2 linked regions of the Lepisosteus oculatus genome follow. The protein of the gene in region 1 interacts with the protein of each later gene in a biochemical or structural test. Links are inferred from orthologs where the notes say so. Each region holds a gene or a part of one and is shown on either strand. Other genes may lie near its edges.

What was found.
Region 2: the proteins of racgap1 (region 1) and ect2 form a complex in vitro, tested with the Homo sapiens proteins (3 studies listed by BioGRID and IntAct, with this or other methods). The link is inferred for Lepisosteus oculatus from reciprocal best matches to the Homo sapiens genes RACGAP1 and ECT2.

What each region holds. Positions count from the first base shown.
Region 1 is NC_090696.1:15,976,210-15,984,811, forward strand, and holds the start of racgap1 (rac GTPase-activating protein 1), read left to right. Parts: upstream 1-4,748; 5' UTR 4,749-4,906; intron 4,907-6,167; 5' UTR 6,168-6,170; coding exon 6,171-6,255; intron 6,256-7,369; coding exon 7,370-7,572; intron 7,573-7,985; coding exon 7,986-8,122; intron 8,123-8,332; coding exon 8,333-8,402; intron 8,403-8,602.
Region 2 is NC_090708.1:674,719-683,483, forward strand, and holds the start of ect2 (protein ECT2), read left to right. Parts: upstream 1-5,156; 5' UTR 5,157-5,429; intron 5,430-6,365; 5' UTR 6,366-6,387; coding exon 6,388-6,520; intron 6,521-7,371; coding exon 7,372-7,451; intron 7,452-8,765. Other genes in the region: mcf2l2 (guanine nucleotide exchange factor DBS), read left to right, coding at 99-190, 1,266-1,366. UniProt on the Homo sapiens protein: Guanine nucleotide exchange factor (GEF) that catalyzes the exchange of GDP for GTP. Promotes guanine nucleotide exchange on the Rho family members of small GTPases, like RHOA, RHOC, RAC1 and CDC42.

The sequences.
Region 1 (8,602 bases):
GAGAGGGACCTCCAGCTCTCTCTTGTTGAGTGTGGATGTGCGGTCGAGCCGGCCGAAAACACTCCGTTAGAAGAATAAGATCGCCGCTCAGTCTTTATTTTCACACAGAGCCTCTCACGAATAATAACGACCTGCCCTTGGCGGTGAAACAGCATTGTCTCTTCGGTATCAGAGGAAGAATACGTCTTACACCTGGCGAAGTTTCATGATGAAAACACGTTTTGGTTTTCTATTCCTAATGAAGCTCCCAAGGAGAGATCCTGATTAAACAGTTAAATTCCTCATCTCGCCTTCCGGTTAGAGCGAAAACCGTGAAAACGTGTCTTGAGACACTTGTGTGTTCCGTCGATCTTGACCATTTTCACTGTCAACTTAACCGCTGTATTCAGGGTATTTATGACTGGAAAGACACAGTATAAATGGGATAGACGTGTTTTTGTGTTCATAAGAAAGCGCAATTGAACAAAATTGCTGTCCTCTTTAGTCCTGGAAATCGCAATGCTCGACAAAGCCCGAGTGTAACAATACGACAAACCGCACAGTGTGTGCCCAAGGCAGGCTGGCAGTCATGGAGTTTCACGATATTAAACGATCGGAACAGGGGTGGAACAGTGCAGCGGTGGCTCTTGGGTCCCGGGTTCGGTTCTGGACTGGGTACCGTCTGCACCTTGTTCCCGTTTCAGGCTGGGTTTTGTCTGGGTGCTCGGTGACCTCCCACCTTCCAAACACACATGAGCCAAGTCACTAACGTGTTTCTGTGAGTGTCCGCATGTGCATGTGTGTAGATGCGTGTGCATGTGTGGATGAGTGTGAATGTGCATGTGTGTGGATGCGTGTGAATCTGCATGTGTGTGGATGCGTGTGAGTGTGTGGATGCGTGTGCATGTGTGTGGATGTGTGTGAATGTGCATGCGTGTGGATGTGTGTGAATGTGCATGCGTGTGGATGCGTGTGAGTGTGTGGATGCGTGTGCATGTGTGTGGATGTGTGTGAATGTGCATGTGTGTGGATGCGTGTAGACATCTCGCTGTTATTTGTTCTGTCACTGGTTTGTGTTCAGGATTGTGAATGTGTTGGGTGTGTTGGGTGGATGCTGTCAGGGTCAGCCCTGGGCATGGGCGAATTAGGGGTCTATCTCAGGCCCCAAGGCCACCAGGGACCCCTACCTAGGGGCCCCTCAAAATGCAACACAACATATTTTTAATCAGCACCTTCAAATCTGATTGTCAAATTCCCTTAGTGGCTTTTTTAGTTGCTGCTGTGGATGATCCTAATGGAAGCCCCGTCAACACATGACCAATCATAATTGAGTACGTGATGTTTCTGAAGAATCCCTGGCCGGGTACTCAGAACATGTGCCTGGCAGATAGCTGATCTCTGTACTGACATCTTCAACCTGTCCTTGGCCCAGGCTACTGTACCTAGGTACTTCAAAACAACCACCATCGTACCGGTACCAAAAGAATCTGCACCCACATGCCTGAACATGTGGTGGAGATGGTGAACAACTTCAAATTCCTAGGTGTTCATATCTCTGAGGACCTCACATGGGCACTGAACACCTCCAGTTTCAAGAAGGCACAACAGCGGCTGTACTTCCTGAGAAGGTTGAAGAAAATGCACCTACATCCACAGATCCTCACCAACTTCTGCAGATGTACGGTGGGGAGCATACTGACCAGCTGCATCACAGCCTGGTACGGCAACTGCACCGCATCCGACCGCAAGGCCCTGCAGCGGGTGGTCAAAACTGCCCAACACATCATCGGCAGTGCCTTACCACCCATCCAGGAAATCTACAACACCAGGTGTCTGAAAAAAGCCACCAAAATTACGACTGACCCCACTCACAACTTGATTGTCCCCCTACCATCTGGTAGAAGGTTCCGGATGCTCCAGACGCACACAAAAAGACTCCGAAATAGCTTCTTCCCTCGAGACGTGAAGCTGGTGACCCCCCCAGCTCCCACCCACCAAACTATGATCTCTCCTTACACCACTACATACATCCTATGTCCCACAATTGAATGCAAGCAGAGCTTGAACTGGGTACTGTCACACTGGTGCCATACTCGTTGTTTACATTGTTATTGTTACTGCAGTGCATTCGAGTTCCCCTGGGTATACACCCTCACCACTCCCACCTCAGTCAGCCCTCCACCACTGGGGCTCAAACCCGGGCCTCCGGCGTCACTCAACAGGGACCCAGCCAGTTGAGCTAAAGGGAGGCAGACCTGAGGGGTCATACCCACGTGAACCCGGAAGCGCTTCATTATTCTATTTACTATTGTCTTGTCTGCTTTTCTATATATACATTACATACTGCACCCGAGAGACTGGTGAGAAATACCTTTCATTATGCTACGCAAATGTATAAGTATAATGACAAAAAAAAAGCTGAATTGAATTGAAACTTGGAGAAGAAGAGCGGGACAAGCGATCTCAAAACGGACTCACGCTCAGGTCATTGTAATAGTGCGCTCTGTGCGTGGTCGTGTAATTTGGATCTGTTTGGGTCCTGGGTCAGTCAGATCCCTGTAACCAGCGAACGGTAGATAAGACACCTTTTCAAGCTGGACACGAAGCCCTCTGGGGGTGTTTTACCAGAAGGTAACGGGTTTCCCGCGACTGTACACATGCCGTGCGGGTTGCCTGGCGAAAACTCGACGCTGCCCGGCCAAACAATAGCGTGAAAGGCAATGTACGGTACAGAAGACTGTTCAGCGATCATACACAATTGGCATGAAAACGCGTTGCTGTCCCCGCGGTTTCTCCTGTATTGAGTTAGATGGGGCTGCAGTGAACTCCACCTGTAGCCCGTCGGACTGACAGCAGCAGGAGCGGAGAGCCGACCCGGCCATCATGAGCATCAGTCTTCCAGTGGGTCGACTACTATCGTATAAAAGATATGATTGAAGATTTTGCCCCCCGATGGATGAATTAATTTAGCGTTTTGTTTTTATAAAATCTTACCGTCTGCCCAGCCTGACTGATCTCACCTCCCTTGCTGTTGAGCGCACTTGTTTCTTAATCACATATTTATTTCTACGATTTCTTTCTGCAAAGGTATCAATGCAGTGATTTGTAAGTTCGTTGCTGTAGGTCCGAGGTAACAGTGATGCTGACGTCACCACCCTTCCCTGTGATAGTGGGACCTCTCTTTGGCTCACCGGGCTGGGTCCCTGTTGAGTGACGCAGGAGTCCAGGGTTCGAGCCCCCGACGGTGCGGGGCCGAGCTAATGCGGCAAGGGCGCCCGCCTGAACCCCCGTTGCGTTAAAATACGTTATCCTTGTAAAAGTTGTGCTTCTTCTTCTTGTTTATAACTTATTATGTGTTCTTTAAAGCTGGTTAGTACATTTTACAGTTATGTAATGGATGTCTTAAACTGTTTTAAATGGTAAACTAAGGCTGTGCTGGGAGCTGATAATAGTAGTTTATGCGCAAATTATGATCTGGAACGGACCCTTTCCAATATCTTGCTTCGAGCCCTCAAGCTAGAGCCTGCCCTGGATGCTATCTATTATGTAGTATATTTGTGTTTTGTATATCTTTAATTGTACGAGCCGCACCTGAAGAAGGCTCCACAGCTGAAACGTTGTGTCTTTCTTTCAGCACGGAATAGGAATACAACTTTACCTGTTCCCTGAGTCCCTGCTAGATCACTTAATATTGGGTCCTCCCAGGTGGTGCAGCAATTCTGGAGAAAAACCGGGCTCACGCTGCCATCTCGTGGACATTCGGTGTAGCTGCAACCTGTTTCACCTGGCCCCTGGCCCCGCACGGGCCAAGTGCTCGGAATCCTCCGTGGCGCTGTCAAAGTCACCCCCTTGGGCTTTTTCAGATCCCGCATTGAAACTCCCGAGGGGAACAAGTGGGGACTCCAGGGAAGACCAAATAAAACCGAGAACAGGAACACTTCGTTATACAAAGGGCTATGGGAGTCTGGAACAAGCTGCCCAGCGAAGTTATAAGATAAGATCACTTTATTAGCCATATACAATTTCTTGCATTAGGAACTGGTCTTTTTTTTGCATACCCCAGCTTTCTCTCCATGAGACACACAGACAGGGAGAGAGAAGCTAGGGGTTACAGCACAGGGTCAGCCATTTATACTGGGGTTAAGGGCCTTGCTCAGGAGCCCAACGGAGTAGGATTTAAACCAGCAACCTCCCGGCCACAGGCACGGATCCTTAGCCACAGTGCCACCGCTCCACCAAATCGAAGCGGATACCCTGGTTTCTTTCAAGAAGTGGTGAGATTAGACTCGTCTATTCTTGAGGCTTTATTACAATTATTTATGTGGGATGCTTTGGAAAATGGACTTCACGTGATGAATTATCACGATTTCCCAGGAGGTCTCTCATCCAGCTGCTGGCCAGGCTAACACCTGCTGAGCTTTAGAGGGTTGCTAGTTGCGAGTTGCGAGTTGCAGGGTGATATAGCTGCTGAAATTGCATTTATTGTAAAATAAAATACTTATAATTCCTTTAATTCACATATAGTTGCTAATAGACAGGTGAGAATGACCGATGTCTCTATAAGAAATCTTTATAACCAGAATTTACACTACAAGGAGACGACAACTTTCTCACAGAATCTGAAGTATCGATCCCGCGGAAAACTACGGGGTTTAAAATGAACGCCGCGGCTTTGCCACAACAAAGATGGCGTCCGTCAGGCGTCACGTCGCGACGTCTTCTCCTGCGCGCGCACGCTAGGTAGCGTGGACTGGAGCTTGGTCATTGGCTGGCGGGTAAATTTGAATTGAAACGAAACGGCTGCGATAAGGAAAAGCAGATCGTCAATACTGTGGATAATAACCTTCAGAAGTATTGGGGGAAAACAATATATTAATTTTTACAGAAAGAAAGCCGACTTCTCGGCTTTGTAGGCATTGTGAAAGGGGTAAGACCACAAATATCAATCGTAAAGTTTTCAGTTTGTTTTTCCTGTGTAGTTGTGTATATGTTAACCTAGGGTCGGTGTTTGTTTTTAAAATGAAATACAAAACTAGTTTTGTAAATGTCGGAGGTGAGATTTTGCCCCCAAACGGCAGAATTAGTTTCCATTTTATAATGGTAACTCCTACAAAGCGAGAACTACTTCAGCTTTTTCTTTGAACTTCTCGAAATGGAGGAATGTTTAAAATAACACAACGAATCTTTTCTTGTTCGTCTTTGTGAATCTTCTACAGATACACAGAAAGGAGGCTGTAAAGTACTTTGATTGCTTGACCAGTCCTCGAGCTTTGCTGTTTAAATTCACGTTAAACTGTGTATTGAATGGACTTAGTTTACCAAGGTGCTGCCCAGTTTCGGCTGTAAATAACCTCCAGGGTTAATGTCGCTTTGCTGTGCAGAGTTCGGTTTCTGTCTTGTGCAAGCGGACTGTGCCTTCAATTTGAGATTTCTAAAAATGTTATTAGCGACTCGTTTTCGTGTGAATGTTTTAAGGCGCTTTATAAATAAGGGATCTCAGCGTTGTCGTACTAGAACAGTAGAGGCTGGATTAAGCCCATTTAACCAAACCTCAGTCACCATGTTGGGAACAAAATAGTTACCGAATATTGTTGGTATACCTATACTGCCCTGGTCGTGGTAAGCCCGTACGCTGGCTCTTCTGCGTTGTGTTCTCAGATTTACACAATGCAGAAATTAAAAGCGACCTTGCACGGATTAAGAACCGAAAACGCTTAAAGGATCCCAGTGCGTGCCAGGCCAATTAAGACTAAGAGTTCAGTAACGCAACGAGCCCGGCTGCAATGAAAACCAGCGGCTGCCCAAAGTGATGTGAGATCCCCCAGTTTTGCTGTTTTAGAGGTCCTTTACATAAATGGAGGGCAGTTCTACAGCCTAAGAAATAACCTTGCAAAATGAGTCAGCTCAAGGGCCTTGAGAAATGTTTGTTAGTCTTCCTTCTCCATTTTGCAAACATTGTTCAGTAGGCATGTGCGTTATTCCCAGTGACCCTGCTTGATTTCTCACCCAAAGATCATCTTATTAAAGTTACTTGTTCCTTTGCAGCCTACGCATGCTGACGCAGCTACCCACCTGATCTATATTAAAGTTCTGATGACCTGAGGATTTGGGGCTTTTTGCAGCAGTTACTTTTGTCATTCAAACTGAGAGAGTGGGTATTTTATTCTAACCCGCGTGTGTCTTGGCAGGCGATGGAGACCGCGGTGGTCAGTTTGCACGGCCTGTTTGACAAGCTGCGGCACCACGCTGAAGTCCTGAACGAGAGCGTCGAACCTCGTAAGCGCCTTTCTTTCCTAAAGGGAGCCCCTTCGCACGAGGCTGTTGAGCTACAGCGTGATCTTCACTCCTGGTCCCGGAGGACTGCTGTACTCCGGGCTTCACGGCTATAATCATCCTCGCTGGGTGAAGGCGTAGTGACTGTGGTCATAGACGTGTTATGTGAACAGTTGATTCAGATAAAGCCCTTAGGAGTTGAGGGTGGAATGAAAGAAAACAGCAGCTTGAGGGGACCAGGAGCAAATATCAATGTCAGAATCAAATGCTCATCACTGTCATTAAAGCTAATTTGCCGTGTAAACTCAAGGGCCAAAATTCTAGGTGACCCCATCAAATAACCCGGTGGGCCTTCATGAGCATCCCAAATAGGTTTCATAGGATGTGGCGCATATTCCACAAGGTTCTGGATCGTCAGTCTTATCCCGTCGTCCAGCAGGATATCGTTAGCTGAGGCCATGAGGGGTGACAATGGTGTGAGATGTGGGAATGAACTGCGTGTTCAACCCGTTCTGCAAGATCTGAAGAGGATTCAGTGCTGGAGGTTTTTCTGCCCAGGAAAGGTGATGGAGGTCTCTCCTGCTCCTTAAGCCGCCTGTGCTTTGCAGCTGTGGTGGGAGCCGGTTATTTGATTGTGTTCCTGATATTTTGGGCCATGAGTGTGCAAGCAATACAAATGTTGGAAAACACGCTGAAACTCTTATTTTGCCTAAAAGTAGTCTTAATTTTTCAGTTAAAAATATTGCAGCATAAAACCCAAACATAAGCAAAAAAAATATTGTCTCTTATACCAAAGTTATAACAGGAATTTATTTTGGTCCTGGTTTATACCTTAATGAGCTTTTGTATGCTTAATTTTATGTACTGTATATTTTATTCACAGGTCAATGATTTTGAGTCCCTTGTTAAATGTGTATGTCTTGATACCTCCGATCTGATTAAGATGCCTAATTAAAGTTAGTTTTGCCTCTCCTACAGTAAGTGTCAATTCAGCTGAAATAAAAACTAAGTTTAAAAAGTTGAAACCAAGTGTTACCTTAGGCCCGCCTTACAGGAGATAGTCATACAGCACATATAGTTCAGGTATAGAATCCTCCTGAGCCTCTTTGCTCTTCAGAGTTCATCCAGCTGGCGGTGAATTTCGAGGACTGCCGCCGCAAGTGGCTGAAGAGCGAGCAGGAGCTGGTGTCGTGCAAGGAGGTGCTGGCCAAGGCGGAGACCGAGCGCGGCGCCCTGGAGGTCAAGCTCAAGCACGCCCGCAACCAGGTGGACGTGGAGGTCCGCCGGCGCCAGAAGGCTGAGGCCGAGTGCGAGAAACTGGTGGGTGTGCCCCAGCTCCTGCTCGGGGGCTTTTGTGCTTTCCCAACCTTGCCTATGCGAGCAGCGAGAGTCACACTGAGGCTTCTGTCTTGGGCTTTTTCTGAAGAGACCGAATGAGAGCTAGTTCTCCAGGGACTGAGATGGTACTTGAAGGGGCATAGAATCCTATGAAAATACCTGAGAATAAGTCCTTTTAATTTCATTCTTCAGTTTAACTAATATTTTAAATTTGCTCAGTGGTTACAGCTATACCAAGTTGATGAGGTGTGTTTTTGTAAGTATTGAATAGAGAAGATTCCTAAAAACTATATTTTGTGTGCAGTATGGGCATGTGTGTATTATGTGAAGAATGGGAGCCGTGCTTATAAATGGGCCCACTGTGACCCTCTTTCCCCATTGGCATTGTATTTCAGGATCGGCAGATCCAGTTGATCAGAGAGCTGCTGATCACGGAGGGATCCACTAGCATTCAGCTAAACGAAGAGCAGCGATCTGCCCTGGCCTTCCTCAATGCCCGGACTCAGGCAGCCCCACAGAACACCAGCCGGAGGTAAGCATGACCCTACTCTTCCAATTCCTTTTAAAGGAAGTTGAGTGTTCTGTCCACTGACACATGCTGTTATTACAGCAGGTTGGTGCCTTTTCTGAGGTGGCCCTGAAGGGAAAGGTACCCTCTGTTTGGCTGGCACCTCCAAGAAGCTAAGAAGACCATCCCTTTTTCTTATCTGAGACCTCTATTGCCATTTTTCTTCTTTTGCAGGTTAACCACGATTGACGAGTCTGCATCCATTCTGTCAGATATCAGCTATGACAAGACAGATGACTCCCTGGTAATATTTTACCCCAGACATTTAACGTATTGGAGGGGAAAAAATGGTGACGCACAGAGTTGTAATGTCAGCTCAACCACATTCAAGGCTTTGCTCAGTCCTAACAGTTTTCACTAAGTACTAGCATTTTGAATTGGGGAGAAAGTCCTTGCTGCACCATTGATCTGTGCTGTAAGGTGTCGGTAAGGTACAAGTTAAAG
Region 2 (8,765 bases), on another chromosome or scaffold:
AATGAGTCACCTTCTTCTAATCCAAATCAATGATCACTCTGAAACCCACCCCTGTGGTAAGCCCTCAATTAAACTGAACATTCTTTTTCGTATTTTAGGCTAGTCAAGACCCTTTTAACTGAGAAGACAGGTTTGGTTCCGTCCAGCATATTGCTGTCTGCAGGAGGAGTTCACATAAACAGTAATACTGGTACATCTTATTAAATACTTAATTTGTAACAGCTAGTGAAACAGGTTGCAGCCCACAGTACTCGATAATACGTTATGTAGTAGAGAGATTTAAAATAAAAAACAGGGAACTAAATAGCAGGTTGAAAGCTAAGTGAGTGCAGCATGCATTGTCTCTTTTCCCATTCTGCTAACCCCTTACTTGCAATATTCATGGTCTTTACTTTCCTGGTGGCTTGGCTCCTTTCACTCTTCATAACAAGTGCCTTTCATCCTTTATTGGTGTGAAATAGATTAAATGGAACCATATCCATTTTGTATTGTACTAATGTATTTGTTTTTATCACGAGACCCTGGAAGGTGTTGTGATGATACAGTTAGAGAAGAGCCCCCATAGCTGAGAACAGCCTGTATCCATTCAGTGTGTTTTGCTGTAGAGCAGGAGTCTCAGGTTCAGTTCCTGGAGGGCCTGGAGTCTTCTGGTTTTTGTTCCAACCACATTCTCAGTTCCATACATGAACTAATTATTTAATTAGCTATATAAGTGTAATGCTTCTAACCAGAATCCAAAGTGATTTGAACTGTAGGTAGCTGTACCTTAATGAAGCGAGATGTGTTGTGCAGCCAACAGTAAAAAAGTCCTTACCAAAAATCCTGTACAGGTCTAATTCAGAAAATAATTAGGTTAATTGTTTAATCGACTCCTTAGGTTGGAACGAAACCCAGAAGACAACAGGCCCTCCAGGAGCCGAGCCCGAGACCCCGCTTGAGTCAGGTGGAGGTGCTGCAGTAGCTTGAGGTCTCCTCCACTGTTACATCCTGCTGTTCTGGAACCTTTCGGGTTCCCCCGAGCCTGTCTGGCATTTCCATCCCTGTATTCCCGGGGACTGGCCTGGCCACACGACTGCATTGGCTTGCAGTGTATTCGGCGTGAGAACAACCCAGCAGCCCAAGAAAGTAAAGTTAGATAGATCTAACACCGTGCGCTTTCCCGAGCGTCTGCAGCAGCCGCCTGCTGTCTCGCACAGACAGAGTCGTTTCAAAACGCCGCGTTGCCATTCGTTTCTCCGCCTCTTAACCGCCGTTCCCCTTTCCAGATTTTTTCAGCGACATGTGCACGGCCGCTCTCGCCGACACGGAAGAGAAGGAAAGCGAGCGCGCGGGACAGATGGCGACGGAGTTGAGGGCTGGGAGTTGAAACCGAGGGGATTCTCAGTCGTCTTTCAGCTTCTGGCTTTCTTGTGTGCCACGCGGGTCTGGAGCTTGCAGGCTGCCTTCAATCCGCCCTCCCAGAGGAGTCCTCTAGCGGAAGCTGCTTTGCTTATTGTAACTAAAGGCTCCAGGTTCCAATCTGCCTGTATTGTCCAAAGAGCTCCTACGTCTGCTGCCATTGGGTAGTAAACCAGACACCCTCTCAGCTGCTACGTCCTGTACAGAAGCTCTCCTTCCAGGCGAATAAATAGCACAAAAAGTGGTGCTTTATGCTTTGATTCAGCGCTGTTGCAGTGCCTTTCCGTTCCACAGTTCCAGTAACGTGCCGCTGCTCCTTCCCTTCCTGGCTGTAACTCGGCAGAGCTGCGTGTGTGTCAGGAGGTTGCAACAGCAAGCTGCGACAGCTGAGAGGACCAGGTCTGTCAGCGTCTGTTGAGCCTGAATATAGACATCGATAGTGTGGCGACGGAGATAAAGACCCTGCAGCTCTGGTTCTCACTGTGTTTAGCTGCGCTCCAGCCTGGCGACTGTAACACTCTGCTGAGGGAGAGGGTGATGTTGTGAGTGGTTCCTGTGTGGTTGTTGGTGTCACTGTTTCCCTCTCCTCTCCTTTGGCAATATGGACAAGAACAGCACAAGCAGAAACAGGCCATATCCTGTCTGCGGCGCATGGATTTCTGCGTCCTGCGAAAACTGAGCACTTTTGGACAAAGACCAGTCACCAAATAGAAAGTTATTTGTGACTTGCCATCTGTGAGAGAAGTAATTCTTTGAACAGTACAGGTTTACCTCTCATTTTTGAAGAAGCATTCACTCTTGGCTATATTTCATCTGAATGTGCTGTATTTGTTTTCAGGCTTAGTGTTTTGCTTGTGTGAAGTTCTCGTGTACTTCTCCCAGCCACAATATTCAGTTTGATCTGAGAGTAGCATATGTTATATATATATTTTATAAATATTTCTGTGTGTCAGGATATGAGCATTTTTACTAGACATACTCTTCAATGTTTAGTAAATTGTGAACTGTAGAAAACCATTACAAGAGCAAAACACTCTTGCGTTCAGAATACACTGTTACGCTGGGAACGCTGTCACAGTGAGAGGCTGCTAGATAGCTGCCGTGAAGACGTGATGCATACATAACGAGACAAGTGTAGCAAATTGCTAAGAATAAAGTCATGCGCACATTTTGATTAAACAGATCATTATCAGTAGTTTATAAACTTCAGGTTTTGATCATTTTCAAATATAATTTTCTCGTATCAGTTTTTTTGTAACGCAGAATAATTCATCTTCACTGTACTCTGCTTCACATGGGCATTACGAATTGTCCTGAACTCCTTTACGTGAGCTAGCTATTGCTTGTCAATGATAAGCTTTATGATAGATGACCAGGAATGTTTCTTTTTTTTCAAAATTACAGCAGTTTTGTTAAAACATATTCAAGGTGTTTGTGGGACTTGTGCCTGAGAACTTACAGTAGGGGCCTTTTGATTTTGCTACTTGTTCTAGTGGATTGAATGTAATTTTATCTTTTAATGGTGGTGTAAAAAGAGATACCCTAAAATTCTGGTCTTTACTTTTGTGACCAAAAACAAAATCAAGGTGTTGCATTGTCTTGATGTTTCTTAAAGCATTTCTACTGAGGCAGACCATTCAGGCACAGTCTTTTTCATTCAGAAATTGTGAAGCTCCTTCTGCTAACTTTTGTCTGTATTTATTTGAAAGGATAAAAAAAAACTTGGAATCCTAGACTGCAAACTGCATTTTGTATATGTATGAGCAATGTCATTGGATATACTGTGTAAATGACCTTTCTGTACATTTTTAAACATATTGAAATTACAATGCGTTGTTAAAAGAAGGTGTCTGTGTCTTCTTGTCGGCTCATGATGGATGCCATTCAGGTACAGTGGAATGCATACAGCACATCATTATAACTCTGTGCTGTCAGCTGCTGCTCCGGCGAGGAACAGAAAAGACCATTAATGTGGGCCTTAAAGCGTAATGTATTCCTTCGGTTGGTGGTAGGCACTAACTTTTTATCTGCTTTCTTCTGTCGGGATTAAATTATATATAAAAGATATGCACATTGTAAAGTTTTACATGTTGTTCCCACTATTGAGTGTGTCAGCTGGTGGGTGGCATCATTGATCCAAATTAGCGCTGATCCGAGCCGGTCGCCTTGCCTCCTCATTACAGGCCTTCATAAAGGATGGCTCCTCATTCCAGCACCGACGCTCTCGTCAAACCAGAATAAATTAAACCCCACTCTCGGCCTCCCCGTCTCATTTATGCACAAAGGGGCACCAGATTTCATGCACCAGAGTTGTGTAGAAAACACACAGATAAATGTGTTTTATATGTATGCTTCAGAAATTAATCTTGTAAAAAAAAATATCTGCAGTGTCTGTGATTGTGAGGTCTTCAGTCATAATGTTAAGTGTCCAAAACTATACGATAATACATTTAAATGAAACTATAAAATTGTAGGGTTTTTAAAAACAATGTTTGACAAACAAAATTATTTTTTCCACAGACAAATGATCATTAATTCCTTTCCTAGGCTAACAAAATAAAGAATTGCACTCCTTTTTTCCTTCACAAGAATAAATTCAACTTATGTTAACTTATGTTTTCATGTGCCGTGAAATAAACTTTTCCAAGCTTTTAAAACTTAAATAATGGGCATTCAAAACTATACTGTGATACTAGTACTCTGAAAATGGCTTCTTGGTGCTTTTGTTGACTCTCAAATAAAAACATATGTGGGGAACTTTGATGCAGACTGAGTCTCCAACGAATGTATCGTATTTTGCAAGTGGAAAAAGCAGATGAATCCATGTCAGCAGGGTGAAGGTGAAGCAGATGAAGCAGAGTACCTAGACGTGTCTTGTGGCGCACCTTGAGCGGATACTCTGGCGTCTACAGCAATAAAACTGAGAAAGCTGTAAGAATCAACTTTCTGGAGTCACCTCGTACAATAAACACATCTTTCCATCATCATTCACTCGAGATAGTCTGTGGGTAATAAGCTGAGAAACGTTCTGCGGCGAAGTCGTGCACTCTTCGGCCGGCCTAGAGCACACTGCAGAGGCGCAACACCCGTCCTGCTGACCCGCGAGTCACCCTCCAGAAACTGCAGCGAACACAGCCCTGTCAAGTGTCCACCACCCTATGGAGTAAAACTGCATTTTTTTTATGCAATTAAACCATAGCATCTGATCCGTGTTGATGTTCTACGTCAACGACAATAACGTTTTTATAAAGGAAAGAAGTAAAAGCAAAAGACAGAAACCAGATTGCAGAGATGCACACACGCACACTCGGGCTGTCAGCGTTGGGGTCCGGCGATGCCAAGTGACCTGCAGGTTCATGCTGCACCAGTTCAACACCAGCATGTGAAGACTCGGGGATGCAACCTGTGCGTTTCAGCACCATCAGGGGATACAGAGACCAGAGGGCCACGTTTGTGTAAGAACGTCTCTCCTAGTACACTAGTTTGAGTCACCCACCGAGGTCGACGGGACCTCCACTCATGTGAAGCCCTCCTGTGTTTTTAATGATACTTTTGTCCTAGCTACATTCAATCGCTCGGAACCGTGATGTTTACAAGCTGACAGAAACCCTACCGAGACGAACCGCGCCCGCCGCCACTGCAGGCTCGCGCACTGGGGCACTCGGGCACGCGAGCCGGTTTGAAAGCGCCAGCCAATGGGAACCGCGGGGACGTTATTTCCGGAAGATCCCCTTCCGGTCCTGGGCTGGCCTCTCGTCCAATCAGCGCGCAGCTCTGTGTTTGTCCAGCTTTTTTGAATTCAAGGAGACGAAACATAGCAGTTTGCTGCGAGAATGGGGCTTTACAGTTAATTCGCATTACACACAATAACCGCGGAACTTGACGTATTATCTTGTTTCTTTGTTTTTTTTGTTTTCTTTATTAGAAACGCGTTTCGTGTTGTAGCCGCGTGTGGTTTTGTTTGCAGGTGTTTTAGCTGCGTCCACCCTACCTGACTCTGCGGCGCCGGCCTGCTCCTGTCTCTCCTGCTGGTGGGTGTTAGTCTTTCTGGGAAATAAAAGAAAACATGTTTCTTACAGCTTGCCCCTGTAATGCCCGGGTCAGAAAAGGGTGAGTCTGCGGGCGAATGTTTCTGCGGGGCAAGACATTTGCTGACTAGTTTGTAGCAGGTGCGATTGTAACTTGTTCAGGTCTGGTCTGACATTAAATAGTTCATGTTTATTCCTGAGTGGTTCAGTCCAGCATGTTGCTGGCTACTCTCATTGACTTCTGAGTGTATTTGTACCTTTACTGGCTAATATCTGTGGCCGGTTTTGAGACTTGGTATGTGAACATCTCTGTTGATCATTCCGGAGGGACCTAAAGCTGAATCCTGTGCTCTTTCAGTAATCTTCCGTGGCTCCGAAGCTTAATCTTCCAATGAACGTTAATTTAAAATACTTCTGAATCGGGAAGTGTTTCAAAGATTGACTGGTACAACGCGTGTGGCGTTTTGATCTCTAAGTTTTTTTTCCCTAAAAAAAGTTCGTTGCATTTATAGTTAAAGGTCGAGTCTTGCAAGTCCCATTCTCCTGAAGCATGTTTTTTTTCAGTAGCTTCTGCAGCTTTGTTATTTAGGACACTGGCTGCACACGGGGATGGAGGACGGGCTTATTTGTGTTGACCCTGAGCCTTCTGGTTTCTGAGCGAAGGCTGCGAGTTCTGGGCCTGATTTGTTTTTCTCCCTGTTGCTGTGATGGGCTCTTCATTTCTTAATAAGATTCAGCAGAGGCTGCGCTCTTGTGAAGCACTGCCGTTTGTCTCGGACTCCGTGAGAGAGTCACGCTGAAGGTTTCCATGATCAGGTTTAGTGCCGTGGAGTTGTTTCAAACTATTCAGTTTATTTCAGTTAAACCGTAATTCGCTTTTGAAGGGGTAACTGGCATGCGGCGTGACATGTTTGCCCTTTCGGCTTGGTGTTTGCGTAGGGACATCAGCTCTTGATCTGCCATGGCTGACAGCAGTACTCTCACACTGGGGGCGGCCCCCAGCCTGCTGGTGGACTCCTCTGTCTATGACTCCAGGATGGCCGAGACCTCCAGGGACCACCTGTTTCTTGGTCTGACTCCAGAGGATGCTGAAGGTGACTCCAGAAAGCTAAGTCTTGTTACAGTTGTGTTGAGTTATTGCTGTCAAACTGGACATGTCTAAAGTGGGTTTGAACAATAACGGTGCACAGCGTCTCTTCAAAGGCCTTGGGAAATGCAGATCTCACCCAGTATTGCCAACCTGTTAAAATCTTTTTAATAATGATGAATTACAAAGTCCTCATACTCCACAATCTGTAGATCCTAAAACCTAGTGTGTGTAGCTTTTCTGGATTCCTGTGTTGTGGGGAAAAAAAAAAGAAACGTAACAAATGTTTTGTAAACCCGAGAAAGTAAGAGATGTGGAATAGACTGATGTTAGAAGCCTTTTTTCTCTTTTGTAATTTTCTCTTATTTTCTGGAAGGAATTTTGAAAGTTTACAGGTGTTTGTCTAGCAGGAACGGAAGAGGGCGCATGTATCTCCCCAGATATACAAGCACTGATTTTAAACTTGAGTTTGCACTTTATTTTGGGATCAGAAAATGTTTATCCTTTTTACATTTTTTTCTATAAATATGAAAATTAAGGATGCCGTTTTAGTCATTGAGCTGCACACTGAGAACATAAATAATCTGCAAACGAGATTCAGCCAATCTGGCTCATTGAGTAGTTATGTATGCATCATCTTAATCAGAATGGCTGGGTGAGACCAAGGGCCAGAACAGTTCCTGCTATGCTTATTTTTATGCTGTGAAGAGCCTTCTGTGTGCATTTCAAAGCCTAGTTTTCACTGTGGAGCACATAAACTACAGACTAGCATTTGTGTCTTAACTGTTAGAGAGGAGGACAGTTTAATATTTGTATCCATTCCCTTGCTTTGCAGTAATCATCTGTATCCTTTTGCAGATATGCTGCCTCGTGTTGAAACCAGGGTTATTCTTGTGGGAGAAGCAGGAAACAATGAAGAACTTGTTAAGGCATTGGAGGTAAAAAATAATACCATAGTGGGATATTTTATTCTTTCTTTCCTCTTTACAATAGCTCATTATTCAATTTTCAGATGAGTTGCTAAGCCTTTAGATGCAAGACAACACTGTACAGATTTAAACCTGCTGATCCCATAATAGTTTTTGTGTGATAGTTTTGAACAAATTATTCAATGGATAATATGCTAACAATGCTCCCCTTGGTATATATTACTGAAGCTCCAGGAATAAGAAGCTGATAATTTTTATTTAAATTGACAAATCCCCCTGTTGTAATTTCAGATTGCTGTTTGGAAATAAATTTATCCTAGAGTACTATCATTTGTCACTTGCTAAAAATAATAAAGTATCAGCAGCAGTAGATGTTTAAGGTTAAAATATGTATGACTCCAGCCATTTTTAGACAGAAATACCATTTTTCATTGTCCCTTCATTTGTTAATTTTCACAGTACTTGCACGGATGGTATAAAGGTGTTGCAATATTAAAATCTGAAATTAAATATCATGACCATACTGTGGCGTACTTAAAATGATTTACTATATAATCATTTTAAGTATTTATTGAGTTTCAGTCTTAGGGCTCCTGAAATCACAAATCTGTATGTAGATTTGTTTCTTGCAATGACCTATAAATCTTCACTGGGAGATGTTATTATTCTGAAGGTTTAAGATTGATTTTTATTTTTTCTTGCAAACAAGATCTGTGTGATGCTCTCGTAACCTGTGGTGCCTTATGCTGATCAAAACGATCCCTTCTAACTTCCATTGCCTTGGGTATCATACAACCCTGCAGCCTGATCTGCTTAGATCTCGGATCTTTGTCAAGGCTGGGCCTGATTGGTACTGAGATGGTATACCTCCCAAGAAAAGCCAGGTTGCAGCTGCAAATGGGTATGCAAGAGGGACTTTTCCATCTGGATCAGAATTCCCAAACTTTTGCCCTTGCAAATATGAGGGTGTCATGTGCAAGTTGCTTTCTTCGGAATGAGGTTAAACTGAGGTCGTGACAACTTGCTCGTTGATCCTATGGTACTGTTCACACTGGTGTCCTGGCAAAATTCCAGTCTAGACTTGTATGTCTGGTCTCTTTCTTTAATCCCCTTGATTCGACTGGTGAAGCAATTTTTCCATCTCATCTGTTCCAGCAACCCCAATAAGATAAGATCACTTTATTAGCCATATCAAATTTCTTGCATTAGGAATTTGTCGATTGCAGAATGGCTGTCACCCAGATGGGACTGTACTTCCTTGGTGAATGAAGTGTGTTTTTTCCGAGATGTAAAGCTATTTGGAGTCCTTTGGCGTAAAAAAGC